Macaca fascicularis: one gene and its partners. The main gene of each other region encodes a partner of the protein of the gene in region 4 in a complex. Links are inferred from orthologs where the notes say so. Each region holds a gene or a part of one and is shown on either strand. Other genes may lie near its edges.

What was found.
Region 1: PRPF8 (region 4) and PRPF6 share a complex: the UniProt entries of both Homo sapiens proteins name them as parts of the U4/U6-U5 tri-snRNP complex. The link is inferred for Macaca fascicularis from reciprocal best matches to the Homo sapiens genes PRPF8 and PRPF6.
Region 2: PRPF8 (region 4) and LSM2 share a complex: the UniProt entries of both Homo sapiens proteins name them as parts of the U4/U6-U5 tri-snRNP complex. The link is inferred for Macaca fascicularis from reciprocal best matches to the Homo sapiens genes PRPF8 and LSM2.
Region 3: PRPF8 (region 4) and SART1 share a complex: the UniProt entries of both Homo sapiens proteins name them as parts of the U4/U6-U5 tri-snRNP complex. The link is inferred for Macaca fascicularis from reciprocal best matches to the Homo sapiens genes PRPF8 and SART1.
Region 5: PRPF8 (region 4) and LSM5 share a complex: the UniProt entries of both Homo sapiens proteins name them as parts of the U4/U6-U5 tri-snRNP complex. The link is inferred for Macaca fascicularis from reciprocal best matches to the Homo sapiens genes PRPF8 and LSM5.
Region 6: PRPF8 (region 4) and PPIH share a complex: the UniProt entries of both Homo sapiens proteins name them as parts of the U4/U6-U5 tri-snRNP complex. The link is inferred for Macaca fascicularis from reciprocal best matches to the Homo sapiens genes PRPF8 and PPIH.
Region 7: PRPF8 (region 4) and SNRPD3 share a complex: the UniProt entries of both Homo sapiens proteins name them as parts of the U4/U6-U5 tri-snRNP complex. The link is inferred for Macaca fascicularis from reciprocal best matches to the Homo sapiens genes PRPF8 and SNRPD3.

What each region holds. Positions count from the first base shown.
Region 1 is NC_088384.1:120,163,527-120,167,026, reverse strand, and holds part of PRPF6 (pre-mRNA-processing factor 6), read right to left. Parts: coding exon 3,434-3,500; intron 2,148-3,433; coding exon 2,028-2,147; intron 981-2,027; coding exon 804-980; intron 380-803; coding exon 246-379; intron 1-245. UniProt on the Homo sapiens protein: Involved in pre-mRNA splicing as component of the U4/U6-U5 tri-snRNP complex, one of the building blocks of the spliceosome.
Region 2 is NC_088378.1:139,906,423-139,910,382, forward strand, and holds the start of LSM2 (U6 snRNA-associated Sm-like protein LSm2), read left to right. Parts: upstream 1-1,160; 5' UTR 1,161-1,323; coding exon 1,324-1,413; intron 1,414-1,754; coding exon 1,755-1,822; intron 1,823-3,960. UniProt on the Homo sapiens protein: Plays a role in pre-mRNA splicing as component of the U4/U6-U5 tri-snRNP complex that is involved in spliceosome assembly, and as component of the precatalytic spliceosome (spliceosome B complex).
Region 3 is NC_088388.1:8,419,510-8,423,009, forward strand, and holds the end of SART1 (U4/U6.U5 tri-snRNP-associated protein 1), read right to left. Parts: intron 2,723-3,500; exon of another isoform or gene 2,707-2,722; coding exon 2,533-2,706; intron 2,454-2,532; coding exon 2,343-2,453; intron 2,095-2,342; coding exon 2,007-2,094; intron 1,517-2,006; coding exon 1,426-1,516; intron 1,316-1,425; coding exon 1,180-1,315; intron 524-1,179; coding exon 434-523; intron 331-433; coding exon 209-330; intron 104-208; coding exon 85-103; 3' UTR 19-84; downstream 1-18. UniProt on the Homo sapiens protein: Plays a role in mRNA splicing as a component of the U4/U6-U5 tri-snRNP, one of the building blocks of the spliceosome. May also bind to DNA.
Region 4 is NC_088390.1:1,799,951-1,803,450, forward strand, and holds part of PRPF8 (pre-mRNA-processing-splicing factor 8), read right to left. Parts: intron 2,461-3,500; coding exon 2,331-2,460; intron 1,938-2,330; coding exon 1,741-1,937; intron 1,478-1,740; coding exon 1,271-1,477; intron 1,137-1,270; coding exon 973-1,136; intron 822-972; coding exon 695-821; intron 582-694; coding exon 389-581; intron 110-388; coding exon 1-109. UniProt on the Homo sapiens protein: Plays a role in pre-mRNA splicing as core component of precatalytic, catalytic and postcatalytic spliceosomal complexes, both of the predominant U2-type spliceosome and the minor U12-type spliceosome.
Region 5 is NC_088377.1:97,812,454-97,816,614, reverse strand, and holds the start of LSM5 (U6 snRNA-associated Sm-like protein LSm5), read right to left. Parts: upstream 2,801-4,161; 5' UTR 2,632-2,800; coding exon 2,508-2,631; exon of another isoform or gene 2,499-2,507; intron 2,304-2,498; coding exon of another isoform or gene 2,211-2,303; exon of another isoform or gene 2,029-2,210; intron 2,005-2,028; exon of another isoform or gene 1,898-2,004; intron 1-1,897. Other genes in the region: late secretory pathway protein AVL9 homolog, read left to right, coding at 2,211-2,303. UniProt on the Homo sapiens protein: Plays a role in pre-mRNA splicing as component of the U4/U6-U5 tri-snRNP complex that is involved in spliceosome assembly, and as component of the precatalytic spliceosome (spliceosome B complex).
Region 6 is NC_088375.1:192,210,766-192,214,869, forward strand, and holds the start of PPIH (peptidyl-prolyl cis-trans isomerase H), read right to left. Parts: upstream 2,801-4,104; 5' UTR 2,777-2,800; coding exon 2,711-2,776; intron 2,379-2,710; coding exon 2,314-2,378; intron 1,996-2,313; coding exon 1,972-1,995; intron 1,703-1,971; coding exon 1,658-1,702; intron 343-1,657; coding exon 300-342; intron 1-299. UniProt on the Homo sapiens protein: PPIase that catalyzes the cis-trans isomerization of proline imidic peptide bonds in oligopeptides and may therefore assist protein folding. Participates in pre-mRNA splicing.
Region 7 is NC_088384.1:28,879,729-28,883,844, reverse strand, and holds the start of SNRPD3 (small nuclear ribonucleoprotein Sm D3), read left to right. Parts: upstream 1-1,316; 5' UTR 1,317-1,405; intron 1,406-2,997; 5' UTR 2,998-3,015; coding exon 3,016-3,141; intron 3,142-4,116. Other genes in the region: protein GUCD1, read right to left, coding at 279-321. UniProt on the Homo sapiens protein: Plays a role in pre-mRNA splicing as a core component of the spliceosomal U1, U2, U4 and U5 small nuclear ribonucleoproteins (snRNPs), the building blocks of the spliceosome.

The DNA of each region.
Region 1 (3,500 bases), on a different chromosome or scaffold from region 4:
AGGCACCCTCCATCAGAACACAAACTAAACTGCATCAAACCATCTGCAGGCCTGTCCCAGTACCTAAGCCGAACCCTCCCAAGGCAGGGACCGTGATTTTTCGTGGCCAGCACCTACTGCCTCGCAAGCCCCCGAGCCTGGAAACACTGCACAAGTCACTCCACACAAGCAGCTGGGTGAGGACGGCCCACCTGATGGGTAAGCTGTGCCAAGAGCCCAGGCTGCCCCCACTCATCAGGACTCACCACAGCCCAGGGTTCTTTGGGTTCTTCAGACGAGACTTTTCCAAAATGGCCCGGGCTCGAGTTAGCTGCCCAATCTTCTCCTCCAGCCGAGAGAGCAAAAGCCACAGGGGTGTGGAGTGGGGACACTTCTTCAACTGCAGCCGACAAGTGAGAGAGCAGCTCAGGTGGTGTCTATGAAGAACTGGGACGCAGCCATGCCAGCTGCTCACTGCAGTGGGCGAGCCAGCACCTCAGGACTGCCTGTGTCCCACTCTGCATTTGTGGGTTTACGAGTGTGCGGTGGTGCTGTGGACCTGTGCACACAGGTCTGTACATACCAGCCTTTACTTCAGGTGTGCCACGCTCTGCACTTCTGAGAGCAGCGTGTGCAGCTTCATACAAGGCAAAGCACAGAACTCAGTGAGGGGACCGGGGTGTGGGTCCTGAGCCCACAGCTCCCTCGCTGTAACCCCCAGCCCTCCACATCTCCTCAGAGGTGAAGGGCAATGGCCCTGCACCAGGGGGCTCAGTTCTGTGAATGCCGGGCCAGCTGCAGCCCGAGGGTGCAGGCAGACATACCCCCTGGTTATAGGCTTCCCGCGCGTTCTCCATCATCTCCTTCTGCTCCTCGATCTGCCCCTTCATCATCCACAGCTTGGGGAAGTCCTCATAGTGCCGCAGGGCCTCCTCGCACAGATCCTGGGCTGCCCTGATGTTGTCTTGCACCCACTCCAGCTTCACAGACTTCATGAACACCTGTGGGGCAGACACGCACCGTCAGCAGGGCATCGGCTCCAAGGCACGTGCTTCGTGTTACGCTCGTCCTCGACACTGTTACCTGCAGCACTGTGGGTACTTTTGTAAGCTTTTCATAGCCTGTTTGTGTACACAAAAGGTGGGGATAAATATATGAGTATGTTTTTGTTTTGTTTTTTTGAGATAGAATCTTGCTCTGTCACCCAGGCTGGAGTGCAGTGGCGCGATCTCGGCTCACTGCAAGCTCTGCCTCCCAGGTTCAAGTAATTCTCCTGCCTCAGCCTCCCCGAGTAGCTGGGACTACAGGCACACGCTACCACACCTGGCTAATTTTGTATTTTTAGTAGAGACGGGGTTTCACCATGTTGGTCAGGCTGGTGTTGAACTCCTGACCTCGTGATCTACCCTCCTCGGCCTCCCAAAGTGCTGGGATTGCAGGTGTGAGCCACCGCGCCCGGCCGCATGCAGGTTTTGTTGTTGTTGTTGTTGAGTTTCCCTCTTGCTGCCCAGGCTGGAGTGTAGTGGCGCAATCTCAGCTCATGGCAACCTCCGCCCCCAGGTTCAAGCAATTCTCCTGCCTCAGCCTCCTGAGTAGCTGGGATTATAGGCATGTGCCACCACGTCCAGCTAATTTGTATTTTTAGTAGAGACAGGGTTTCTCCATGTTGGTCAGGCTGGTCTCAAACTCCCACCCTCAGGTAATCCATCCGCCCTGGCCTCCCAAAGAGATGGGATTACAGATGTGAGAGCCACCACGCCCGGCCACACGGATGTTTTAAAGTCACATCACAAAGATGAGTGTGCTGTGTGCTGAGATTACAGGCGTGAGCCACCATGCCTGGCCATATGAATGTTTTAAAGTCACATCACAAAGATGAGTGTGCTGTGTGCTGAGATTATAGACGTGAGCCACCATGCCTGGCCATATGAATGTGCTCTGGTCTCGTTTGCCTGCTGTCATCTCACATCACCACTCAAGCCAGGTGCGGGGCCCACGTGTGCACACCACGCACCCCGGATGGCCCAGCCCTGCCTGCCACTGCGTACCCGGGCGGTGGGGGCGCTGCTCCGCGCCTTGGCCAGCAGCCTCCGGGCCCGCTCGTACTCATCATTCTCGGACTCCAGCTTCACGGCCGCCAGCCAGATCTCCTCGCTGTTGGGGTTGGCCTGGAGGGCAAGTACAGCAGCGTCAAGAGGGGTCAGAACACAGGGACCAGCGCCTGATCACACTTAATCAAAAGCAGGCAGGCAGGAACTGAGCCAGGCCTTGTTCTGCTGCAGGATTAGTCCGGCCCAAGCCCTTCCCAGGGAGGAGATGACAGAGCAGACTCCAGTGCAAGAATCCGGACTCACCTGGAAACACACAGGTCCATGTTCACTCTAGTACAGCGCGGACAGCGAGGAGGCTGCCAAAGCACTGAGCAATAATGGGGGTGGGAGCAGGGCCATCTTATCCAGGATCCATCCACACCCTCTCAAAGCCCCTGAATGGGTCACTCACACCCTATAGAGACCCACCACACCCAACCTCGCTCTTTGCCCTGAGCCTGATGAAAGGAAGCCAGCTGTTCTGTCCTCATGAGCCCACATGGGCAGGAGAGAGGACTCCCAGAGTGCCACTGACATGTGGAGAAGGCGTCCACAGGCCGAGGAGGCTCACACAGCCCAGAGCCCAGTGGACATGAAGGCTCTGCCCTCGGAGCCTCCCCAGGGCTGGTGCCCAGGGCTGTCTGAATGCATCCTAATCAGCACAGCCGCTCACTGACCATGCAAGATGACCACATCACAGACCTGAAAAGCAGCCCAAAAACGATGGGCAAGGAAAGCCGCCTGACAGGCAGCAGAGAGCGGGCAGGCGGAGGGGACGCTGCGGTCACCCACAGGAGTGATGCCATCTCAAACAGGCAGCTGAGAGCGGAAGGTAAAACCCAGGCCAGGCCCCTCTCATGATGTTTGCTCAAGGAAGGGCACGCTCTATGACATTAGCCTGCGCTGCAGTAACTGACGTTTATACAGCATTCTACAGTTTATTAAAAAGTATGTCATGAAGTATTAGGATGCTATATGTGAAAATAAAGACAAGTACTTAAAAAAACACACACACACCTCATGACAACCAGGCACCCTCAGACAACCCGGCTCAGCGAGGCTGTCTGAATGCGTCCACTCACGTAAGGGCACCCTCAGCCCGTGTGACCCCATGCTCTACACTCTGAAACATTTACCCGTGGTCACACGGCGTCGGGGGCCAAGAGGTACGTATCTGCCAGGTGGCTGCTTTCCTACTCTCAGGCCCCTTCACGGCCCCTGCTCCCGAGGAGCAGCCCCTGGACTCCAGTGCACCCAGCCACAGCACGTGCCACGTTGTATGTGGGAGATGTTCAGGCCCCAGTCAGCACCCAGGTCAGCTCCTGTGTGCACAGGCCCCTCACCGCACAGGCGACCTCACCCACCTGGAAGGCCAGAGCCAGGATGCTCCTTGCTGCGGGCACATCCCCTGCCAGCCACTTGGACTTGGCG
Region 2 (3,960 bases), on a different chromosome or scaffold from region 4:
TTTTTTTTTTTTTTTTTTAAAGACGGAGTCTCTCTCTGTCACCCAGGCTGGAGTGCGGTGGCGGGATCTCAGCTCACTGCAAGCTCCGCCTCCCGGGTTCACGCCATTCTCCTGCCTCAGCCTCCCGAGTAGCTGGGACTACAGGCACCCGCCACCTCGCCCGGCTATTTTTTTGTATTTTTTAGTAGAGACGGGGTTTCACCGTGTTAGCCAGGATGGTCTCGATCTCCTGACCTCGTGATCCGCCCGTCTCGGCCTCCCAAAGTGCTGGGATTACAGGCGTGAGCCACCGCGCCCGGCCAATTTTTTTTTTTTTTTTGAGACGAGTCTCGCTCTGTCGCCCAGGCTGCAGTGCAGTGGCATCATCTTGGCTCCCTGCAACCTCCACCTCCCGGGTTCACGCAATTCTCCTTCCTCAGCCTCCCGAGTAGCTGGGATTACAGGCGCCCGCGACCACGCCTGGCTAATTTTTTTTGTATTTTTAGTGAAGACGGGACTTCACCATGTTGGCTAGCCTGGTCTCGAACTCCTGACCTCACACAATCCATCCACCTTGGCCTCTCAGAGTGCTGGGATTGAAGGCGTGAGCCACCGCCCTCGGCCTTTTTTTTTTTTATCAGCTGAATTTAAGATTAAAAACATTTTTTAATTTTATTTTTTGAATTTTATGTTTTTACTTTAACAAATATAGAAAAGTGCACACTTCATAATCTTCACAAACTCCCCACAATTCTCGATAGGATGTGTGTAGAGGGCACGAACACATCACGCTGTGGACGGCAGGGTTATGGAAAACAAAACCTTTTGAGCTCAGACGCCGAGTGCCTCCACCCGCCTAGCAGCCCAGGCTAGGGTCCGCGCCTGCGCAATGGGAGCCGGCCGGCCCTGGAAGAAGTCGGAACGAAGGAAACCCCGCCCCTTTCCCGGCTTCCTCCTCCCCTCGGTTTTACCCAGCTTGCGCTCCCCAGCCGCAAGTCGGCCGCGCTTTACCCTTCAGCGCTTGGAGGGTTCTGCGTCCCTTCCCGCTGCGCCTGCGCGGTCCCGCCTCGCCCCACGCGCGGGCTCGCGCTTCGGTTCTCCCAGACCTGGTCTCAGCATCCGGCTCTTTTCTCGCTCCGGCCCGCTGCCCGCTGCGCCAGCACCATGGTGGGTACCGTGACGTCAAAAGGGGTCGCCCTCGGGGATCTCGGACGGTTGGGGCAGGGGGGTCTGGCCTTTGTCCCCCTAGGCTGGAGTTAGGTCCGGAGTTTTTATCTTCATCGTTAGTCCTGTTCCTCAAGTTCGTTGAGGAGACACCTGAGAGCAAATGGGATTTTTTTTTCCATGATGAGGAAAAAAACCCCAACCCTGAGAGAGATTCAGTGGGGACAGCGGGAGACGGAAAAGTTAGACCTTAGAGCACTTCTCTGCCAGGCAAGCTTCGGCAGGGTGCGGGTGGGATGTTTTCTGTAATTCATTGAAAGGAGTGGGCAGGTACCCGAGAAAGGTGGTCGATTGAGAGAGCACACTGGGGAGGCCGAGGTATGCAGGGCAGAGCCTCTCTGGGACTTTAAGTGATGGGCTCAATGCAGTGTGCAGAATAATTTGGGCTCCAGCCTTTCACCTCTCAACCAATTATTCTTTCCTGTGAAATTTTGAGAACTGTTAGGGATGCAATGGGGTTCACAATACCGGTATTTGGTAATACTGTCAAGGGACACTCCTCCCTACCATGTTCCTTCCCACATGATGGTTTTCCCCCTCTCTCCCAATAGCTCTTCTATTCTTTTTTCAAGTCCCTTGTGGGCAAGGATGTGGTCGTGGAACTCAAGAATGACCTGAGGTAGGTACCTGTTCCAACAAGTCTGTTGGGGGTGGGTGTGCCCAGGGCCCTGGAACCTCTTTAATTTGAGAAATATTTGAGGGCTGGGTGAGGTGGAATATGTACAGAAGAAATAAATGGCCGGGTGCGGTGGCTCACGCCTGTAATCTCAGCACTTTGGGAGGCTGAGGTGGGCGGATCACGAGGTCAGGAGATCAAGACCATCCTGGCTAACACGGTGAAACCCTGTCTCTACTAAAAATACAAAAAATTAGCCAGGCATGGTGGCAGGCGCCTGTAGTCCCAGCTACTTTGGAGGCTGAGGCAGGAGAATGGCGTGAACCTGGGAGGCAGAGCTTGCAGTGAGCCCAGATCACGCCACTGCACTCCAGCCTGGGTGACAGAGCGAGGCTCTGTCTCAAACAAACAAAAGAAATAAATGGGTGGGGTGCAGTGGCTCACGCCTGTAATCCCAGCACTTTGGGAGACTGAGGAGGGAGGATTGCTTGAGCCCAGGAGTTTGAGGCTGCAGTGAGCAGTGATTACTCCATTGCACTCTAGCCAGGGCAATAGAGCAAGACCCCATCTCTAAGACAAATTTTAAAATTTAACAATAAATAAATGCCTTGTGCCTTAAATTTACAGATAAGCTTGGGGATTGTATTGTGTATTGGAAAACAATACAAAGCAATATACAGTTTAAAGAGTAAATACTGGTCAGGTGTGGTGGCTCATGGGCTGGACGTGTGGCTCATGCCTGTAATCCCAGCACTTTGGGAGGCCGAGGTGGGTGAATCACGAGGTCAGGAGTTCAAGACCAGTCTGGCCAAGATGGTGAAACCCCGTCTCTACTAAAAATACAAAAATTAGCCAGGCATGGTGGCAGGTGCCTGTAATCCCAGCTACTTGGGAGGCTGAGGCAGGAAAATCGCTTGAACCTGGGTGGCAGAGGTTGCAGTGAGCTGAGATTACGCCACTGCACTCCAGCCTGGGTGACAGAGTGAGACTCTGTCTCAAAAAAAATAAATAAAGAGTAAGTACTAGGCTGGCCATGGTGGCTCACACCTGTAATCTCAGCACTTTGGGAGGCTGAGGCAGGAGGATCACTTGAGTCCAGGATGTCGAGACTAGCCTGGGCAACATAGAACCATTTCTATAAAAGATTAGCCAGATGTGGTTTACATGCCTGTAGTCCCAGCTATTCGGGAGACTGAGGTGGGAGGATCACTTGAACCCAGGAGGTCGAGGCTGCAGTGAGCCATGATTGTACCACTTTACTCCAGCCTGGGTGACAGAGGAAGACTGTCTCAAAAAAGAACAGGCCAGGCCAGGCGCAGTGGCTCACGCCTGTAATCCCAGCACTTTCGGAGGCCGAGATGGGCGGATCACGAGGTCAGGAGATTGAGACCATCCTGCCTAACATGGTGAAACCCCGTCTCTACTAAAAATACAAAAAATTAGCCTGGTGTGGTGGCGGGCGCCTGTAGTTCCAGCTACTTGGGAGGCTGAGGCAGGAGAATGGCATGAACCCAGGAGGTGGAGCTTGCAGTGAGCCAAGATGGCACCACTGCACTCCAGCCTGGGCGACCAGAGCGAGACTCCATCTCAAAAAAATAAACAAAAAAACAGAACAGGCCATAGGCTGGGCATGGTGGCTCATGCCTGTAATCCCAGCACTTTGGGAGGCTGAGGTGGGTGGATCACAAGGTCAAGAGATTGAGACCAGCCTGGCCAACATGGTGAAACCTACGTATTAGATATGCTACTGTGTATCTAATACCTAGTATAGGCCAGTTGTATGATAGGTGCTTAAGGAAAGAAAAATAATATCTGAAGACCTATTGACTAAGCACTATTCTGAATACATTTATTGATTGATTTCTCAAACACTCCTTAGTAATATGTACTATTGCTGTTATACATATGAGGAAACTGAGGCTTAGATCAGCTATACCACTTGTTCAAGTCTACAAAACTAGTAAGTGATACAGAACAGAAATATGATTATGTCCAGCTTTTTTCTTTTTCTTTTTTCTTTTTTTTTTTTTGAGATAGTCTCGCTCTGTCGCCCAGGCTGGAATGCAGTGGTGTGATCTCTGCTCACTGTAAGCTCTGCCTCCCGGGTTCATGCCATTCTCCTGCCTCAGCCTCCCCAGCAG
Region 3 (3,500 bases), on a different chromosome or scaffold from region 4:
TGTACCACGACCAGGGAGGAAAAAATAAGGAGGGAGCTTTATTTAATATGAAGGTTGCGGCGGGGCTGGGGAGGGAGGGCGCTGTCACTTGGTGATGGTGTTCCTGCAGAGAAGAACAGGGCGTGAGGCTGCAGAGGCGGGCACAGGCCACGCCACCTCTCCCCTCCCCACCCCACACACCCAACCCCACCAGCCTCGAGTCACTCACGCGTTCATGCTCTTGCCGCTGCCGCTGAGCACGATGTAGGGGGTCTTCTGAGCCTTCTGCTTCTCCTGGAGCAGGGCCACAGTGCCCAGGGGCGTGTCACTGGAGCTCATCTTCTTCAGGAGCTGCGGGGTCAGGGCCACTCAACAAGGGCTGCAGTAGGCCCCACACACCAGCCACCCCTGCCCCGGCAGGCGCAAGGCCCCCCACGTCCCCAAGAGCACCCACCGCCTCCTCATCCAGCTTCTTCATCCGCCGCTCTGTCTTCATCTTGCCTGAGCCCTTGCCATGGAAGCGGTGGGACAGCTGCCGGAAAGCCTGGGGACACAGGGCATGAGGGGAGCTGCAGAGCCCTGGCTGGGGCCGGAGCCACCTGTGCCCACAAGGTGTGTAGTAACAGGGCGGGTGTTGATTCACCCCAATGCCAGGCCTGGGGTGGTGGGAAGGGGATAGGAAAAGGGCACAGACCCTGGCACTCTGCAGGGCCCCAGCAGAGGCCGGGAGACCAGCTTGGCTAGCAGATGTGCTGCCATGGTGGCAGAGTACAGGGAACCTGGTGACCTGCCACGCAGGGGCGGGGCCTGGACGCTGGGGCTGGAGGGAGACAAACCCCAGAGAGCATGGGGGCAGCTGAGTGGTGGGCAGGAGGGTCGGGCAGCCTACAAGAGTGATGGAAGGGTCTGGATGCTGGAATGGCCCTGCGGGCCAGGAAAGCGTTGAAGGGTTCACACGGGTGAGGACAGGAGGGCAGAGGTCCCGAGTGCCTGTTGGACCCTCCTGCCTGGCCTGTGAAAGGACTGCTGTGCCCACTAGAGACTAACTAAGGCAGAGCCCTTCTCGGCCCTGAGGGCCCCCTCCCTATCCGTGGCACTTCACCAGGCCCCCGGCCAGAGGCTGATGGAGCCAGGACCCTGGGGCATTGCACGGCCCTGGGCTTGGCCTCCCTGTGGCAGGCTGGGCCTCCGCCTGCTCACCTCCTTGGGTGTGAGTTTCCGGCCCGTCTCATCCACATATTCGATCTTAACATCAGGTTTGTAGCCGTCCTTCTCCTTGAAGTCCTGTGTGAAGCCTCGGTACTCCTCCCGCCGGCTGTACTTGTCATCGATAGCCCTGGCCCGAGACAGAGGGGGCCTTAGTGTGAGGAGCTGCTGCCTGCTGTGTTCCTGCAGCTCCGAGCTGGCACAGGCCCATCAGCCCTGCACACACCCCGCCACACTCACATCTTATCCTCGATGCAGTACACGGCTGAAGGCAGCGACTTGTTGGGGGCCTTCACCCGGGCCACCTTCTGCACTGTGGTCTCCAGCAGCCCTAGGGACGGAGGGGTTGTGAGACTCCCAACCCCTTGAGGGCCGCAGCTCCAGGGCCGCCTGAGAACGTAGAGCAGGCCCTGCGGGGGGACCTCCCTTTCCTTGTCTCTGGAAAGCCATCAGGCCTGTTCTACAGGCAAAGCAAAGATGCCAGAAACGCGCCCCATGCCAAGGGCCACTGGCCAGGGAAATGCAGAGCTGGGGTCCTAACACCAGGGCTCTCTGTGCCACAGCTAGACCAGTTTCAACTCCGCTCTCCTTCCTGGAGCACGTGTGGAGCCTCACAGGCAGAGCAGACGGACAGACGCCGGGGTGGAGGGGAAGGAGTGGCTCTGGGCCAGGGAGTTGGCTCCAGCATTGGGACTGAAAGGGGCAGCAGAGGGGACCAGAGGGGACCCTGCCTGCACCTGCCGCACCGCAGGCCCTCACCAGCCCTTTTCCTGCTGCAGCACCCAGGCCCACCCAAGTTAGGGCTGCCCTGAGCTCCCTACCTTTGTTCTGACACAGGAGCAGGGCAGCCGCCAGCCCCCTATTCACGATCGGTTCCTCGTCCAGGATGGTGGTGGAGGAGGCTGAGAACTAGGGGACATGTGACAGAAGTGGTTAGCAGCCCATACCGGCTCTTCTCAGCCCCACCCACTGGTCACCACCCACCAGGCACCAGGCCTCCACAACATTTAATTTCCTCATTTACTCCTCAGATCGCCCTGAGAGGTCTGCAGAGCCCACTCTGGATGAGGAGGCTGAGGCTCTGGACACTGAGCCCAGTGCTCATCTCTAGTTTGAGCGCCACCCCCATGCCCACCCGCCAGCGGCGCAGCCCTCACATCCTGCTGCTGCTTCTCCTCGTCCAGGTTCACTGTGCTCCAGCCGATGTTCTCCTCCCCGTCAGATTCGGAGCCGCCGTTGGCCGAGCGCTCCTCATCCCGTTCAAAGTCCTGGGGCACAAAAGGCCAGGGTTGGTGCAGGCGCCCAGCCAGCCCAGGGAAGTGCAGGGTGGGGTCGCCCCAGACGCACCATGAGCTCCTCCTGTTCCTCGCGGTTGCCAGCCAGCCCGTAGGTGGGGATCTCCCCCAAGGTGCGGCAGAACTCGGACGTGGCGTTGAACACGATGGCCCCCTTCCGCTCAGGATCCTCATCCTCCTCCCAGCCCCGCTGGCGAGACTCCAGCTTCTTCACAATCTCCACCACCTGGGGGAGGGAGCAGCTGTGGGCAAACCCAGCAGTTTCTGGGGTGATGCCATTGAGACCCAAGAACCCAAGGGTCCTCCCTGGCAGCAGCAAGACAAGCCACGCCCACAGCCCATGCAGGCCCAGCTGCTCTCTGCCTCCTGACTCCACTCTGCACCTCTTTCACTGGGGTCACTGTTCTGCTCCAAACCCGTCAATGGGTTTGGATGCCCTTTAAATGAACACCCAACATCCTACAGGGCCTTCCTGACCAGGCCTGTGCCGATCCCCCTCCAAAGCCCCTCGCACACTACCTCAGCCTCAAGCTCCTTCCTCCAGGGTCCCTCCTGCCACTCGCCCCTCCCCCAACAAACCCGTTTCAGGACTCTCTAGACAGCACTTCTAGAACCCGCAGTGCGGTGAGGTGGCCCACTCTTTTGACTTCCCACAGCCTAGCTTCTCGCTTCCTGCTTCACCAAGAAAGCAGGTTCCGTGACATGGGAAGAGAACTCGCTCGTGCTGCCAGCACTGAATCCAGCGACCCCCACACAGGCACCAGCACCCTCTGCTTTCCCTCCTGTCGCAGATGCCCAGCCACACGCAACGATTACCCACTATCTCCCCTCTTAAAAAAACTCCTTCCTCAACCCTGCAGCCCCAACAGCAAACTCCTCACTCCTTAGTGAAGGTTCGAGTCACTATGTCCACTTCTGCATCCCTCTTCCATTTTATATGACATTCATTTTTTTTTTTTTTTTTTTTGAGACGGAGTCTGGCTCTGTCACCCAGGCTGGAGTGCAGTGGCGCGATCTCAG
Region 4 (3,500 bases):
TTGAGCAGGGTCAAGTCGATCTTCTCATACATCTTCTCAAAGCGGGACTCCAGCATGACATTGCACTCGCCTTCACTTGTCTCCCACACGTCCTGCAGGTTATTGATGCCTGAGGAGTAGCAAGGCAGGTCTCCAGCAGGTTAGAAATCCTCTTTCAGGACTAGCCCCACAGTAACTATCATCACCTTCCACAACCAATCCCACTACCATTCCACGTAGGCATCCGGATTGCTTTGACTATGGGCTTTCCTCAGTTTAACAGGAACACTACTTCCTTTTACTACCATGCATCAGGAGAGTAAACCAATCATGCTGCCCAGATGAGAATTTTGACATAGAACTAAATTCATCCCCCATTCCTCACAGGGCAATCTCAGGAAAGTTCTACCTTGGCACCACTTGTAAACAAGCAGTGGAGGTGGTTCTGTGTCAGCAGGCTTAATCCAGGGTGGGAACAGGCGGCGCTTGTCGGCTTCATACCACAGGTATTGGTCCAGGTAGGCATCAGTTATCTTCTCCAGTGGCTCTACGTCGTATACTGGAACCAGGTGGCTATAGAGATCCATGAACTCAATGCCCACCTGTGGTACAAGGAGGCTGGTTCACACCAATCACCTGAGGCAACCTGCTACCTTTGGTTCTACCAAGAATGAAAGGCAGAACCAAAAAGAAAACTTGGGAGGCTCTCACTCACCTCTTTGAAGGCTCTCTGTGTGAGGAGGTGACGCTTGATGCGGGACAGCGCCTCGTGGGGGTTATCGTAGGCCTGCTCAATCAGACCTAGCTCCTCCCTCTGTGACTGGTTCAACCGAGACTTCACACTGATAAGGCAATGGCAACGGTGAATGGGAAAACCAGGAGGAAGTAAAACCAGAAGAGACTGGGGCTACACCTTCTCTCTTTGGACTCTGAGGGTGATGCTATTCCCTCCTGTCACCTTCCCAGCAGGAACCTATCTACCCTAATACTCACCTATAAGCTTCCTTGAGCCGCTCCAATGCCAAGATGAGCAACTTGGTGTCATGCTTATAGGAGAGTGGGGGGAATGGGATGGGTGAGAACCTGCGGCTTTCCAACCAATGCACTGTGGTGGTATATACTGCCACTGCTTCCTCCGCCGTGATGTAAGGCCCGTCCTGCAAGGTGGACATGAAATTAGCCTCCCGCTATAGCCCGCTCCCCCGAGAACAAGGTTCAGTCACAACTCTGCAGTCCTCCCTCATGCCCACTCCCCGACCGCTCACAGCCAGCCCAGCCTACTCTGCCCAACCTTCAGGTAGTTGTGCTGCCGCTCCTGTTCTGCCTTCAGATACAGCCGGGTGAGGCGGCCCAGGTTCTTTTTACACACAGTCTTGTCCACAGTGGCCCCTCGGCGGATCCGTTCTCGGTTGTAGTGGGCAGTGTTGGTCCACCAGTCAGCCTTGGCCTTCACATATCGAAGGATCATATTCTCTATGGGCGTTGGCAGTCCAGGGACCTAAAAGTCCAAAAAGCACAATCAAGCCGGGATAAAGCAGGTGCTGCGGTGCACACCTGTAGTCCCGGCTACTCAGGAGGCTGAGGAGGACTGCTCGAGCTCAGGAGCTTGAGCTTGAGGCCAGCCTAAGCAACACAGCAAGCACCTCTCTAAAAGAGAAAAGAAAAGAGGTGGGAGCCAGATAGGCCCCTCATGAGTCCCAGAGTGGTGATCCTGACCTAAAGACGATGTTCACCCCTCCAAGGAAATGCAGAGACGCCCACCTTCCAGGGAATGTTGGCTTTCCAGCAGCGCCAGGCTTCACTGAGGTGCTGGAGGATTGTGCGGGCCTTGTTCTGTTTGATCCCCTCAGGCATCATGTCCAGAATATCATGCATCACAGCTGCCCGCAGCTCCAGGTCGAAATGTGACTCCACTCGCTGTTTTGTTACTGTCTTTGCCACCCCCTTTGAGTGTCGACCTAGAAGTAGAGTATCCCAAGGGGATTACAAGCATGATTCCTTGCTTTCAGTAAGGGTCTCTACCTTCATGTCCCTCACTTATTATGGTCACAATAAAATTAGGTATTAACAAAGCGTCCATGTGCCCAGCATATGCAAAAAGATGAGCTACCTTAAACATTCACAACTACGCTTCTGAAGAATGTCCACTCCTGCAAGTGCATGATTGCCTCTCAAGGCCCCAGAAGGAAGCCCAAGAAATAGAAAACTAGGTCAGACTCATTTTGAGAACTGAACCTGAAGGCAATCCAGTAGGAAGGGGTGCTCATACAAGAGCAGGGAATAGACTCAGACAACGAGAGGTAGCTTTGAAGCAGTAACAGGAGAAGTTGGACACAGAGAAAACCACTCACCTTCAAACTGCCGGGCCAGGAGGTTGCCCAGCCATCGCTCCAACAAAGGGGTAATGCCACGCATGAAAAACAGCCAGACTCGCCAACCAGCAGCCCAAAAGCCACAGCCAGGACCCTTCCCTACAGGGCCCTATAATCCCAAGCAGAAGTTAAGAACACAAGTTAGCAATGCATTTAAACAGCAACAGAAACCTGGGCAGAGGTGGGGCATATATGTATAATATACATACAGGCCGGGCACGGTGGCTCAAGCCTGTAATCCCAGCACTTTGGGAGGCCGAGACGGGCGGATCACGAGGTCAGGAGATCGAGACCATCCTGGCTAACACGGTGAAACCCCGTCTCTACTAAAAAATACAAAAAACTAGGCGGGTGAGGTGGCGGGCGCCTGTAGTCCCAGCTACTCGGGAGGCTGAGGCAGGAGAATGGCGTAAACCCGGGAGGCGGAGCTTGCAGTGAGCCGAGATCGCGCCACTGCACTCCAGCCTGGGTGACAGAGCCAGACTCCGTCTCAGAAAAAAAAAAAAAAAAAAAAAAAAATATATATATATATATATATACACATACAGACGAATATATGGATGGCAGTAGAGGAGTAAAAAGAAAAAAACAACTCTGGGTCCTCAACATCTAAACAACATCTAAAACAAAAGGGTAAATGAGAAACCTTAAGGCAAAAACCAGGAACTAAGACTGCCCATGTGAATTTAAAGGGGCAGTAAGGATACACTCATAGCTGGTCTCCAAATAGGTCCCTGGAAAGAGCCCTGTCTACATGTATAAATGAAAAAAGATGTGAGAAAGTAAGTCCAGTGAGGCTGCGTACAGTGGCTCACGCTGGTAATCCCAGCACTTTGGGAGACCAAGGAGGGTGGATCACCTGAGGTCAAGAGTTCAAGACCAGCCTGGCTAACATAGTGAAACCCCATCTCTACTAAAAATTCAAAAATTAGCCAAGCATGGTGGTGCGCGCCTGTAGTCCCAGCTACTCGGGAGGCTGAAGCAGGAGAATCGCTTGAACCGGGAGGCAGAGATTGTGGTGAGCCGAGATCGTGCCATTGCATTCCCCCGGGGCAACAGAGCAAGACAGTCTCAAAAAAAAAAAATAGATAAATAAAAAAAAAAAAAAAAAAAAAAAGCTAGATTACAGGTGGCGGGCACCTGTAATCC
Region 5 (4,161 bases), on a different chromosome or scaffold from region 4:
GATGGGGTTTCAACCATGTTGCCCAGGCTGGTCTCCAACTTTTGGCCTCAAGTGATCTGCCCGCCTCGGCCTCCCAAAGTACTGGGATTACAGGCATGAGCCACCGTGCCTGGCCCTGTTTTTGCATACATCTTTTTTTTTTTTTTTTTTTTTTTGAGAGGAAGTCTCGCTCTTGTCCCCCAGGCTGGAGTGCAATGGCGCAATCTTGGCTCACTGCAACCTCCGCTTCCCAGGTTCAAGCAATTCTCCTGTCTCAGCCCTCTGAGTAGCTGGGATTACAGGTGCCTGCCACCACGCCCGGCTAATTTTTGTATTTTTTAGTAGAGATGGAGTTTTACCATGTTGGCCAGGCTGGTCTAGAACTCCTGACCTCAGGTGATCCACCTGCCTTGGTCTCCCAAAGTGCTGTGATTACAGGCGTGAGCCACCACGCCCGGCCCTTATAGATATCTTTAAAAGGTGTTCATTAGACAGTAATTTTAGCCATGTTAATTGTGGAAAATACCAAGACAGTTTATATCAAGAAAATGTTAATAGTTAACACATCACACAGTTGACATCTCAAAACAGTTAATATATTAAGAAAACAGTTAATATATTCTGCATACAGGGAGCAATATAGTTTTACAGTTTTCTGAGCCAATGCCAATAATTTTGTAATACAGAAATGTATAGCAACATCTTGAAAAATGTCTACAGTATTAGCATTAAAACAGTTCTACTGAATCACAGAAACTAAATTTGATTTAGGAAGCCTACTGTTTTTCTCCGCTATGCTTAGATTAGAACAGAGCTCCTTATTTTTCAAGACCAGAAGTGCAAAATATCATAGTTACTGTAGTAATCTCTAATTCTACTTGAAGCAGACTCCTATCCTTTAGGTTATTTGAAAACTGTCGTAGATAAGACTTGTTAAATCTGCTAGTGTTTCTAGAATGCACTTTAAATTGACATGATTCACTGCTTAAAAAAAAAAAATTGCAGTACAGTCAGTAATTAAAAAACCCTGGTGACAACAGAACCCATATATTTTGTATTGACCTTCCTTCCTCCCACTCCACCAAAGCAGAAGCTAAAAACCTACAACCTACACATATCAACCTGCTCCTCCGCTGCTCATAACCATTTTTCAGGCGCAGAAGGAAGGGGTTGTGGGGGCTGGGCTTCATGTGGGGCAGGTGGGAGGAGTTGCAAAGGAGTCAGGTTGAGAGGCTTGGACTCTGCTTTCAAGGTAATAGGCTCAGAGTACTAAACCCAAAAAGAGATGGAATGAAAATAATACTCTTTTAAAATCGCAGGACTAGAATAACCATTTTACAGGTATCCAAGTAAACTTCCTTTATTGTCAAGGATATTCGGTTTCAGGTTTTAAATGCGTCTCAGATTGCTACACATAATATTTAAATGAAGGGGAAAAAAGCTCTAGAAACAAACAAACAAGAATTCTCGGGTAAGCAAGTAATTTAAAGGCTGAATACACAGATACGCAACCTCACCAGTATGCTCCACGTTATTACATATTTGAGAATAAGGACGGAGGCCACAGAGGCAAAGGCAAGGAGGTGAAGGAATCGGACACTCGGAGAGTGAATCGAAAAGATGTGAAAAAGCAAGGAAAACAGAAAAGAAGAGGGAAGGGGGAAAACTTTAAGGAGGAAAATGAGAAGGCAAAAGAGAAGGAAGTGCTTTGAGATTGAATCCAGGGAGGAAAAAGCAGGTGTGCCACGCCGCACCTCCAGGTCCCGCGGACACTACAGGCTCCGCAGGCCCAGCCGCCCGGGTCACGTAAGCCCCACCCCGCTGCTCCACGTCAAGGCCCCCTCCGGTCCCCCCCCCGACCCCCCGAACCCCCGACCCCCCGCCCCCGTCCAGTCGATCGCTTTTTTCCTAGCCCCACCTAACTCCCCCAGGCTCCACCTCGGTCTCTCAGAACCCCCAGCCGTCAGGGCCCTCCCGGCCTTGCCCCGCCCCGCCTCGCCGGCAGCTGCCGCCGCGTCAGGTGACAGCCCGGAAGCTGCGGAAGCGGATGAGAGAAGGGCGGCCGCGGCCCTGGGGGCGGGAGCTGCTCTCCCTCCACAGATCTCCCGGTGCGGCCCTCATGTGCTGCGCTCGCTGACACCCGAAGTCCGCGGCTCTCCGCACACGGTGGGGTCGTCAGACCCGCTGCCCTTGGCAGTCGAAGTCGTAGTGTGGGCCCGCGGCGGCCGCCCATGGAGAAGGCCAGGAGAGGCGGGGATGGCGCCCCCCGGGGGCCCGTACTGCACATCGTGGTTGTTGGCTTTCACCATAAGAAGGGCTGCCAGGTGAGGAAAGGGCCCGCCCCCGCCCCCGGCCGTTCGGGCGTTCGCGCCTCCCGGCGCCCCCTGCCTTCCTTCTGTGTTCCCAGCTCGCGTCGTGCAGTCCTCCCCACCGCGCCCGCGACCCTTCGCCTCTCAACCTGACTCCTTTGCAACTCCTCCCACCCGCCCCACATGAAGCCCAGCCCCCACAACCCCTTCCTTTTGCACCTGAAAAATGGTTATGAGCGGCGGAGGCGCAGATTGGTATGTGTAGGTTGTAGGATTTTAGCTTCTGCTTTGGTGGAGTGGGAGGAAGGAATCGAAGACCGGCCCCACTCTCTTCCCCGTCCATTATTGTCTCCACTGGCTTTCTGGGTGTCCACCTATAATGGGAGTCTAGAAAAATTCAGTGCTTGGACTCTGCTTTCAAGGTAATAGGCTCAGTGGGCTTGCATACTAATACTTCAGGTAGCTTGCGCACCTGCAGCCTCTGTAGAAAAATCAGCTTCCTTTGTTTATCTGATGGAAGCCTTGGAATCTGTCGTGTTAAGTACGGTTGTCGATTAACCCTGCCTCCCCCTTCCCATTGGTCCTTAGTTTTGCTATTTCATCTTCTCCGGATTTTACCTTTTGGTGAGAGATTAATCTCTCCAGATCAACCGCAATAAGAGAAAGCGTATTACCGACCAAACCGTTCAAATATAAAGGTGTTTTTCAGCAGCCTCATTGAATCTTTAATCCATCATCTGAAATGGAATATTTGCGATCTGTATATTGAAGGCAAGAGAACAAAATAGAAACAGGATTATCTAATGAGCAAGCAAACACTGGAAGGGAATGATGTCATAATGTGCTAGTGAACAGTAAATTGAAATGCTTTTTTGAAGTATTAAAAATAGTAATGGCCACCACTAGCTCATGAAGCGTTTAGTTTCTTGCATTCCGCAGGAAATGTAACATTTTAGAAGACGTATTGGCAAAAATTAAGTTCTCTAGGGAATAACAGAAAAAGTGATGGGAGTGAAAAAACTGTGCGTAATTTTGAAATATATCCTCACACCTGTAATGGCAGCACTTTTAGAGACTGATATGAAAGGATCACTTGAGCTCAGGAGTTTGAGACCAGCCTGGGTAACAAAGGGAAACTGTCTCCACAAAAAATTTTAAAAATTAGCTGCATGTGATAGCGCACTTGTAGTCCCAGCTAGTCGGGAGGCTAAGTTGGGAAGATCTCTTGAGCCCAGGAGGCTGAGGCTACAGTGGCCCTTGATCCCACCACTGCACTCCTGCCTGGATGAGAGAGCAAGACCCTGTCTCAAAAGAAAATTTTGGCGCCGGGTGCGGTGGCTCAATTCTGTAATCCCAGCACTTTGGGAGGCCGAGGCGAGTGGATCACCTGAGGTCAGGAGTTCGAGACCAGCCTGGACAACATGGTGAAAGCCCCGCCTCTACTGAAAATACAAAATTAGTTGCACGTGGTGGCACATGCCTGTAATCCCAGCTACTTGGGAGGCTGAGACACGAGAATCGCTTGAACCCGGGAGGCAGAGGTTGCTGTGAGCCTTGCACTCCAGCCTGGGCAACAAGAGCGAAAAAAAAAAGTTTTGAAAATTGTGTATTACGTGCATAAGTCTTATAATGACTGGTCTAGAATCTGTTCTTTATAACCTGTACATCAGGTGTTTTTAGAGGCTTTAATTAAAGTATGTAAGATTTGCCCCAGGATAGATTAATCAGCTACCTAATTCTCCACGTTACTATTTTACTTCCAGGTGTAAAGGATTAGAGGTGCGTGGCTCATTGAGTTGTGACTCTGACTTCACGTGGTTTTAACTTGTGTGAGGGTACTTAGACTGCTCTTCCAAGTATTCAAAATTGCCGT
Region 6 (4,104 bases), on a different chromosome or scaffold from region 4:
TGAACCTATCATAGATCATCTACAGGGTATTCTTAAAAAGTCCAATTTCTGGCTCAAAAAGGCTGAGATTTGGACCATGGAAGTTAATGCCTCAATCAAAGTGCTAAAGTCTGTTATCTACAGTCAGTTGTACCTAGCCACTTTCAAGAACTTCCCCATCACCATTCTCTCCAACACCCCCATCAAACCTGGCTATTGTTCTCAAGCCTTAAGACTGGGTCTCTGTAGTAAAAACAGCAATTGCAACAATAATAAAAACTAAAACTACAGGTCTTTGATAGAAAAGGAATAGTACTTACATTAACAAAATCTCCACCCTGAATCATGAAATCCTTTATGACCCTGAAACAGAGAGCAAAGAATACTGAGAGAAGATTTTATGGAGACTTTGTTATTATTGTATTAGATTAACATTGATTTCAAAATACACTATAACTTTGGCTATTATAAAATCACCATTCTTAGCTGGGTGCGGTGACTCACGCCTGTAATCCCAGCAGTTTGGGAGGCCGAGGCAGGCAGATCACATGAGGCCAGGAGTTTGAGACCAGCCTGGCCAACATGGCAAAACCCCATCTCTACTAAAAATACAAAAATTAGCCAGTCGTGGTGGCACATGCCTGTATTCCCGGCTACTTGGGAGGCTGAGGCAAAAGAATTGCTTGAACCCAGAAGGCGGAGGTTGCAGTGAGCCAAGATCATGCCACTGCACTCTAGCCTGGGTGACAGAGCGGGACTCTGTCTCAAAAAAAAACCAAAAACCAAAAACCAAAACAACAAAAAAAGAAGATTATTCTTTTCCTGGAATGATTAAGCTGAAAGGATAATTAACCATAAAAAAGGATTTTAGTTATAAATTAGGGCATGTTAGAGTTGATCAAGTGCATGATCTGGTACCTGAACAGTAACAAGAAGAAGGGGCTGAAAGCCTGCAGGAAGAATGACCACATTACTTGCCAAAGCAAAAGGCAGATCAAGGATTTGATGTAAATTTGGGGGAAAGAACTACAGAGAATTTATGTGAAAGGTACTGCTACACATGTAAGGGCTTAACAATTGTTAGCTATTACCCCTAGGGAGGGTCCTTAACCTTTGTTATCCTCAGTTTCCTCCTCTGTAGAATGCAGATCACACATACCACTTCACAGGAGTCTTACTGGGGATTAGAGACCCACAGTTCTAAAGCTGTGATATAATTATGTGCTAACATTGTTACTAACCACAGTGAGGCCATGAGAAAGATTCTATATTGAAATGAGACTAAGTGTTGCCATACTCCACTCCCCAGGAAATATGATTATCCTTGGACAATCATATATGATCATTTTAGGAATTAGTTATAAATAGCAACCAGCAGGATATATTATATGCACTTTAGGATTACAAGTGTACTTCTTTAAAAATCTGCATTTGCACAAACAAGTGCATGAAAAAGACAGGATATTGTAAAGATGAGTAGTTTCTGTTTTAAAGACATAAGAAGTGGGAGAGTATAAGTAGAGTTAGAATATTTAATAAATCTTCAGTTATTGAGTCCACAAAAACATTTCTTCTCAAGAAATGTAAGAATTACCTCTGGTTTTATTTTCCTCTAAAGAGCCTAATCCCCCAGGAAATATTTCTGAAAGACTCTAGGATGGCTTGCCAAAAGCCTTACCTGTGGAAGGTGCTTCCTTTGTATCCTATTGGAACCCCATCTTTTCTATAACAAAAAGAAAGAGACTTGGAGTGATAGCAGGTAGCACAAGGCCTTTCCAGTTTACCATGCACTGGAGCCAAAAGGACTCTCCTAAAGATGGTTGACAGACATAAAGAAGGCAAATAAACTAGGGACAGACCCTTGGGGCATTACCTTCTATCACTGTCACCAGCAATCATTCAAGGCCAGCAGCTGGTTCACCGATACCCTCACCGCAGCCCCAGAACACCCTTCTGGAGCAGGCAAAGAAGTCAAACACATCTGAAACTGACCTGAATTCTCCGGTGCAGAACTGCCTGAAAGGGACAAAAAGTGAACAATTCAATCACTATGACATCACAGTCGTGACCGCCTCTAAAGACGGGAAAGAATAAACAATGGAGCCAGCAAGTCCACCAATCCGCCAGCCAGACGTCCAAACACGGAGACGTACAGACTAACAACGTAAATTAACACGGGAACAATCCAAACGGCAACCAGACAGAGCAAAGCACGGAGGAATCAGGTCTCAAGAGCAGTGAGCGGACGGACAGAGGTAGACAGGCTATTCAGGCGGCTGACTAGAGCCCGACTTCTGCCTTAGCTAATCCAGCGGAACTGGAGCACGTCCTTACCTAAAGTTCTCGGCCGTCTTAGGCACAACGTCTGCAAAGAGCTCGATCTTCATGCGGCCAACTTCCTGCAATCAGCGGGAGACTGTCAGAAGGCCCAGTCCAAGACCATGAGGGCTTCACGGAGCTGGGGGCAGGATGGGCTGACCCACCACCCTGCCGCTCGGTATCACCCACCTCCGCCTCTCTGGTCTAACCACCCAGTTCCTCCAGAAGCGGGGCGCTAGGATTGGGGAGACTTCTCCTCATTTCTCCCCGCCCTGCAGGTCGGTAGGTTCGGGTGCAATTTCGCTTTCTGGCTGGCTTCCCGAGTCCGCTCTCTCTGAGTGAGTTCTGCCTGCCTAGCTAGCCCCGAGCAGTTTCCCTTCGGCGCAGGTGTGGGTAGCGTCCTGGATCTCACCTGACCGCCAATGCTGACATCAAAGAACACCACGGGGTTAACAGGACTTGAATTTGCCACCGCCATGGCTCCGACCCGGAAGCAGAAGTCGGGAGCATGGGATTCCGGCGAACCTAAAGCCCTGTCCGCGGGTTTCGTCCGGGGAGCAGGCGCGGTGGACGCAGAGAGAGACCGGGCCCCGCCCCCGGAAGCTGTCGCCCCGTGCCGTGTGTGCTGAGGCTGCTGGGGTCTAGCTGGGAGACTCTCCCTGAGACGGGGGACGCGGGAGTGAGGAGGAGGAAAGCCTTGACATCTTTTTGGTTAAGGTCGATGGTCACCCCACTCACGTGGCTGTACTAAGGGCAGTACAAGTTGATCTTGCTCTAGCTAGGGCTTTTGGACTAGGCAGTCGCCAGGGTCCTCCTTATCGGCTCTTGGAACCAAGCCCTCTACACCGCCACACGTGCTGTGTCTGTCTTCTGCCCGCTAGTCTGTGAACACCGTGAAGGCAGGAACTCTGGTTTGTTCATCCTCAGCGTTTAGAACAGCTTGGCACGTAAAGGCTTGCTAAGTAAATATTTGTCCCTTCCTCTAAGTCAGGACAATAGATTAGGTTTCCGTTCTGCCACAAGCTCCCAGTTTGGTCATTTCCAATTCGTTTCCCACAGAGTAACTAGAGTTTTTTATTTTTTATTTTTAAAATACCTCTTGTGATTCCTATTTATTTTTAAAATAACTCCTGGCTTCCTATATTTAGAATAAAATCCAATTCTGTACATAGGAAGCCCTCCAGTGCATTAATCTGGCTATTACCTACCTGACCTCATCTTGTACCACTTGCCCTTAGTTACTGTGCTCTGACCTGTCTGCTCCTCCAGGTCACTGAGATCCCTCCTTTCTTTAAGGCCTTGTAATAGCTGTTTCTTCTGTCTGAAATATTCCTTCCAGATCTTAATGTGGGTTGGCGGGGTGATGGTGGGGTTTGGTTGGGCTATGTGTGTGGGAAGTAATGCTCCTTGTAGTTCAAGGCTCACCCCAGATGTTACCTCCTCAGAGGCAACATTAGACCTAATCTAAAGTAGCCCTTGGTCACTCAGATCACTGGTTTGTTTTCTTCATGCCACCCCCCATTTCACATTTGTATGGTATGTGTCTGCACCTCATTTCCTGCCACACACACATACATCTTCCTCCCTAATAGCATATAAACTCCATGAAAGTAGAGACTCTCTCAGTCCTGTTCGCAGCTGTAGCTGCAATGTCTCCTACTGAATAGCACATAGTAGGTAAATATAATAGATTCAATGAATTTAGTGAAAGAAGGGGAACTTGGGCAAGACTCATTAGCTATAACAGCATGCATTTAATATAATAGTTATTATTTCCTAGGTCCTTTGATCATCTTTTCTAGCTCT
Region 7 (4,116 bases), on a different chromosome or scaffold from region 4:
TCCTCCACGGTTCCCCAAGGCACGAGAGCTCCCAAGGCGGCTCCAGTAGGACTTTTCGCTTCTGGGGAAGGTGGCGCCCCTTCTACCCGGACCCTCCCACCATGCGGACAAGGGTCGCAATCCTGCCAGTGTCAGGAAACCCCCACTGACTGGAGCGAGGCGGGTGTGGGGGTGAGGCGGGAGTCGGCCCAAGGTCGCGCGGCTGGACCCTGCCCCGCGCTAGGGCGGGGTCCCCTTCGTTCCTAGGGTGAAGACTGGGCCCACAGAGAGGCACTGACCGGGCTCGAGCGGCGGCCCCGCTGCCTCCGCCTCCGTCCTCATGACCCGGGCGGCGCGGGGCGCCCATGGCCCCGGCCCAGAGCGGGCTACAGCTTCCGCTTCGGCTGGGGCGGTAGGGCGGTCGGTGCGTGTCGAGTTCCTTCTCCGCCACCGCCGCCGCTGCGGAGGGGAGAACCGGAGGCGGTGGCTGGGCCGCCCCAAGCCCCGCCCCAGCCCTTCCAGGTCTCGAATCTGGAGGCCCCGCCCTTTCTCTAAGCCCCGCCCCAAACTTTGATCCTAGAGGCCCCCAGCCTCCCGATTTAAATCTGCCCCGGCCATTCACCGCCTCAGCGTCGAGTGACCCAGCCCTCTCGTCCAATCCTCGCGCAGCCGCGAAGCCCAACAAGACGCGGACCCGGAAGCTCCGCCCCTTTCCTTGAGCCCCGCCCCAAAGCCCGTGCATTTCGTGAACAGAGGCTCCTCCCTTCAGCAAGCCCCGCCTCTGCCGGGGCCCGCTCCTTTGCCAGTCTTAGCTGTAAACCCTGGTCCGGCCCAGTGTATTCCGGAGGCTCCAAACAACTCTCCTTAAACTGCCTTTAGGGATGACCCTGAGCCGGCCTCCTCTCTACTCTATACCTAACTTTATCCGTACGAGATACGTAGCCTCACTCAGGGCGCCCCTTACCTGGCGGTGCTGGGATCAAAAAATTAAATTGTGAGGGGAAGTCCTGGCCCTTGGCCCAACCTCCTGCTGCCCCCGGTCTGAGGGCCCAGGCCCCGAGTCTCCGCCTTGCCGTCCAGCCTGTCCTTGGTGTGGGGCGCTTGGAAGTGCAAGCACCCTCTCTGGCTCTTTGCCGGCCCCAAGGGTCGTTGTTTGCGGCGGTCCCCGGGCCCAGTCTTCGGCCCTCTTTTCCGGTGCCGGAACTATCGTACTGGTGCCTTAGTTTCCCAGCCGGCACGCGGGGTGAGGAGGAAGCGGAGGCGACACCGCTCTCACCACTGGGGAAAGGAAGGAGGCGGGCCCTGCGCGCAGCATTTTGGGAACGAGTGGAATTCTGGGAGCTGGGCCCGCCATTCTCTTGATTCACGCCTTCGCCGTAGCGGCTTTCGCCGTGCACCGAAGAGAAGGAAAAGTAGGCCAGAACCGGTGAGGCTGGGGACGGGCGAGGGGAGGTCGAGGTGCCTGTGAGGGGCCGGGGGCTGGAGAAAGACTCAATGCATGAACTCTGCGGGATTCGGGGAGGGAAGAAAGCGGGAAGTTTGGACCACCCAAACATCAGCGTCGCCTCACTAGCGCCTGGAAGTAAGTTCATTAGCTGCTCCCTCAATGTGCATGCTTCTTACATTCTGTATCTCTCCAGGTGAGTGTTTTTCAAAGTTTCCAGGCAGTAATCTTGAAGTTATTTCCTATGAGTTTTTTGAATCTTGAAGTCAAATCCTATGAGGGTTTTTTTTTTTTTTTTTTTTAAAGTAGAGACGGTTTCACCATGTTACCCTGGCTGGTCTCGAACTCCTGGGCTCAAGGGATCCACCGGCTTCGTCCTTCAAAAGTGTTGGGACTACGGGCGTGAGCCATCGCGCCCAGCCGGTCATTTTTTAAAAAGTTCTTTGCATGTCTGCCCCCAGCTCCCTTTCAGGCAGTGGTCCCGTCATGCTTTCCACACTGTTGCAGCAGTTTTAACTGTTGCAGAAATTTTAACAAGTTTCTCTGCTTCTAAACCTTACGTTAGATCCATTTTGTAAATAAATGCTGCTACCTTTTCATTGTGTCATTCTTTACCTATAATTTTGCAGTGGTTCCCCACTATCTTCAGCATAAAATCTAGGCTCCTAAGGCTGAAAGCCAGGGATCCTCACCAAAGGAGCCTGTCTTTTCAACCTCATGTTCTCCTGTCTTAGGTGCACTTAGGTTCCAACTTTGAGTCGTCGCTCATGTCAATAAAAAGTTCACTACTTGATGCTTTTAATTAGGTCAAGTCAGGTGCTTTCCCTTATTTTCCTCCATGACGGGCATTTCCTGCATATAGCACGTTGTCACTTCGATATTTTCTCAATATCCTTGATGGTAAAGTAAGGGAAGGGTTAAAGAGCTGCATTAAAAGTACAGTCTCCTCTCCTAGATATGCATGGTCCTTAGGTCTGTATCTGCTCCTTCCGTAGGGTAGCCACCAGCTACATGTAGCTGTTGAGCACTTGGAATATGGCCACTGGGATTGAGGGACTGGGTTTTTTATTTTAATTCTATTGTGTTTTAGTTAAGTTTAATTTAAATAGCTACATGTGGACATGAGCTACTGTATTGGACAGCTCAGGCCTGTGTTATGATTCTCAAAATATAATAATCTACAATTAAGGGTTGACAAATAACAGTGCAACAGATTAACATTCCAATCCCCCTCCCCTACACACACAGTATTCGCTAATGGTCCTTTAGCTGAAGATTAAGGGACATAGGGTAGCAGGGACACATGGTCGATGGGAGATGCTCTCTTTTCATTCCTATTTTTACTTCTGTCCACCCCACCATTCCTCCTCACCCGACATCTTGCACATATTTGCCAGATAGTTTCCTCCAAGCCAGGAGCTGAGCTTTCTTTTTTCTTTTTCTTTGATAGAAAATGCAGCTTTGGCGTTTTTGCTAAGTTTTATGGAGTGCCAGGCCTTGAAGGAGGCATGACGTGTGCCGCATGCCTTCTCAGACTCTGAAAGATGAACTGACTGTTGTCTCTTTCACTGTAGAGCTCTCTTCCTGCCAAGATGTCTATTGGTGTGCCAATTAAAGTGCTGCACGAGGCCGAGGGCCACATTGTGACATGTGAGACGAACACCGGTGAGGTATATCGGGGGAAGCTCATTGAAGCAGAGGACAACATGAACTGCCAGGTATTCTGCTTTGCATGTGAGGCTGTGTGGGAGGAATGGCCCTGTGTCTTGAAGGACAGAAAGGTGTGGGTTGGGGGTCTTCTGTAAATTGTTCTCATTCAGCAATGATTTCCTGAGTGCCTAACACATACCAGTCAGGTGCTGTTATAGGCTCTGGGGATGTGGGCATGAACAAAACACATAGTCTTGAGGCAGAAAAGCCATTTGGAGATTTGGAATATTTTACTTCGCCTTTTTTGTTTTTTCCATCCCCAAATTTGGGGACCTGTTTGGGAGAAGTTCCTTCAGTAGAATCCTTCAGGTTCAGAGCCATTATCCATTTGCCTCCACTTGCTTTGCAGTTAGGAGAATCTTCTCACATACTGTGTTTGTTTCCCTTTTCTCTTGGAGGAGGAGTCTCATTTGATTATTGCAACTACCTTGTGAGGTAAGCAGGTTTGGTGGTAGTCTTGTCATCCATAAAATAGGGAGAATGAGATTAAAGGACTCATCACTCTGATAGTAAATAATGGAGTAGTTTCTTGATACGGTGTCCTTCTCATGGCGCAGCTTTGCCTTTTGCATAGTCATCTGAATTTTTATAGCATTGTTTTTCAGTTGTATCTTCACACTTTCTTTGTTCTTTAAACCATTGGTTAAGAACTTGGACTTGGGAGTCAGAGAGAGATGTGGGTTTGATTCCTAATTATATGACCTTAGATGTATTAATCACTCAGTTTTCTCATCTGTAAAACGGGAGTGTTATTATTTTGGGTTCTTTGATGTAGATGCCAAGACAGAATTATGCAAGGTATTTATTGGGGGAAATGACAATAAAGGATAAAGGAACAAGGAAACAGTAGTAGGCAGGGAAATTTTCAGTCCGTGATGCTGGTCTGACTGGTGAAACGAGAGGGGAAAGAAGGAGGATTGAGCAGGAAGAACCTTAGACTACAGTGTAGTTTTGAGGAAGTCTCAGCAAGGCAGTGATTGCTC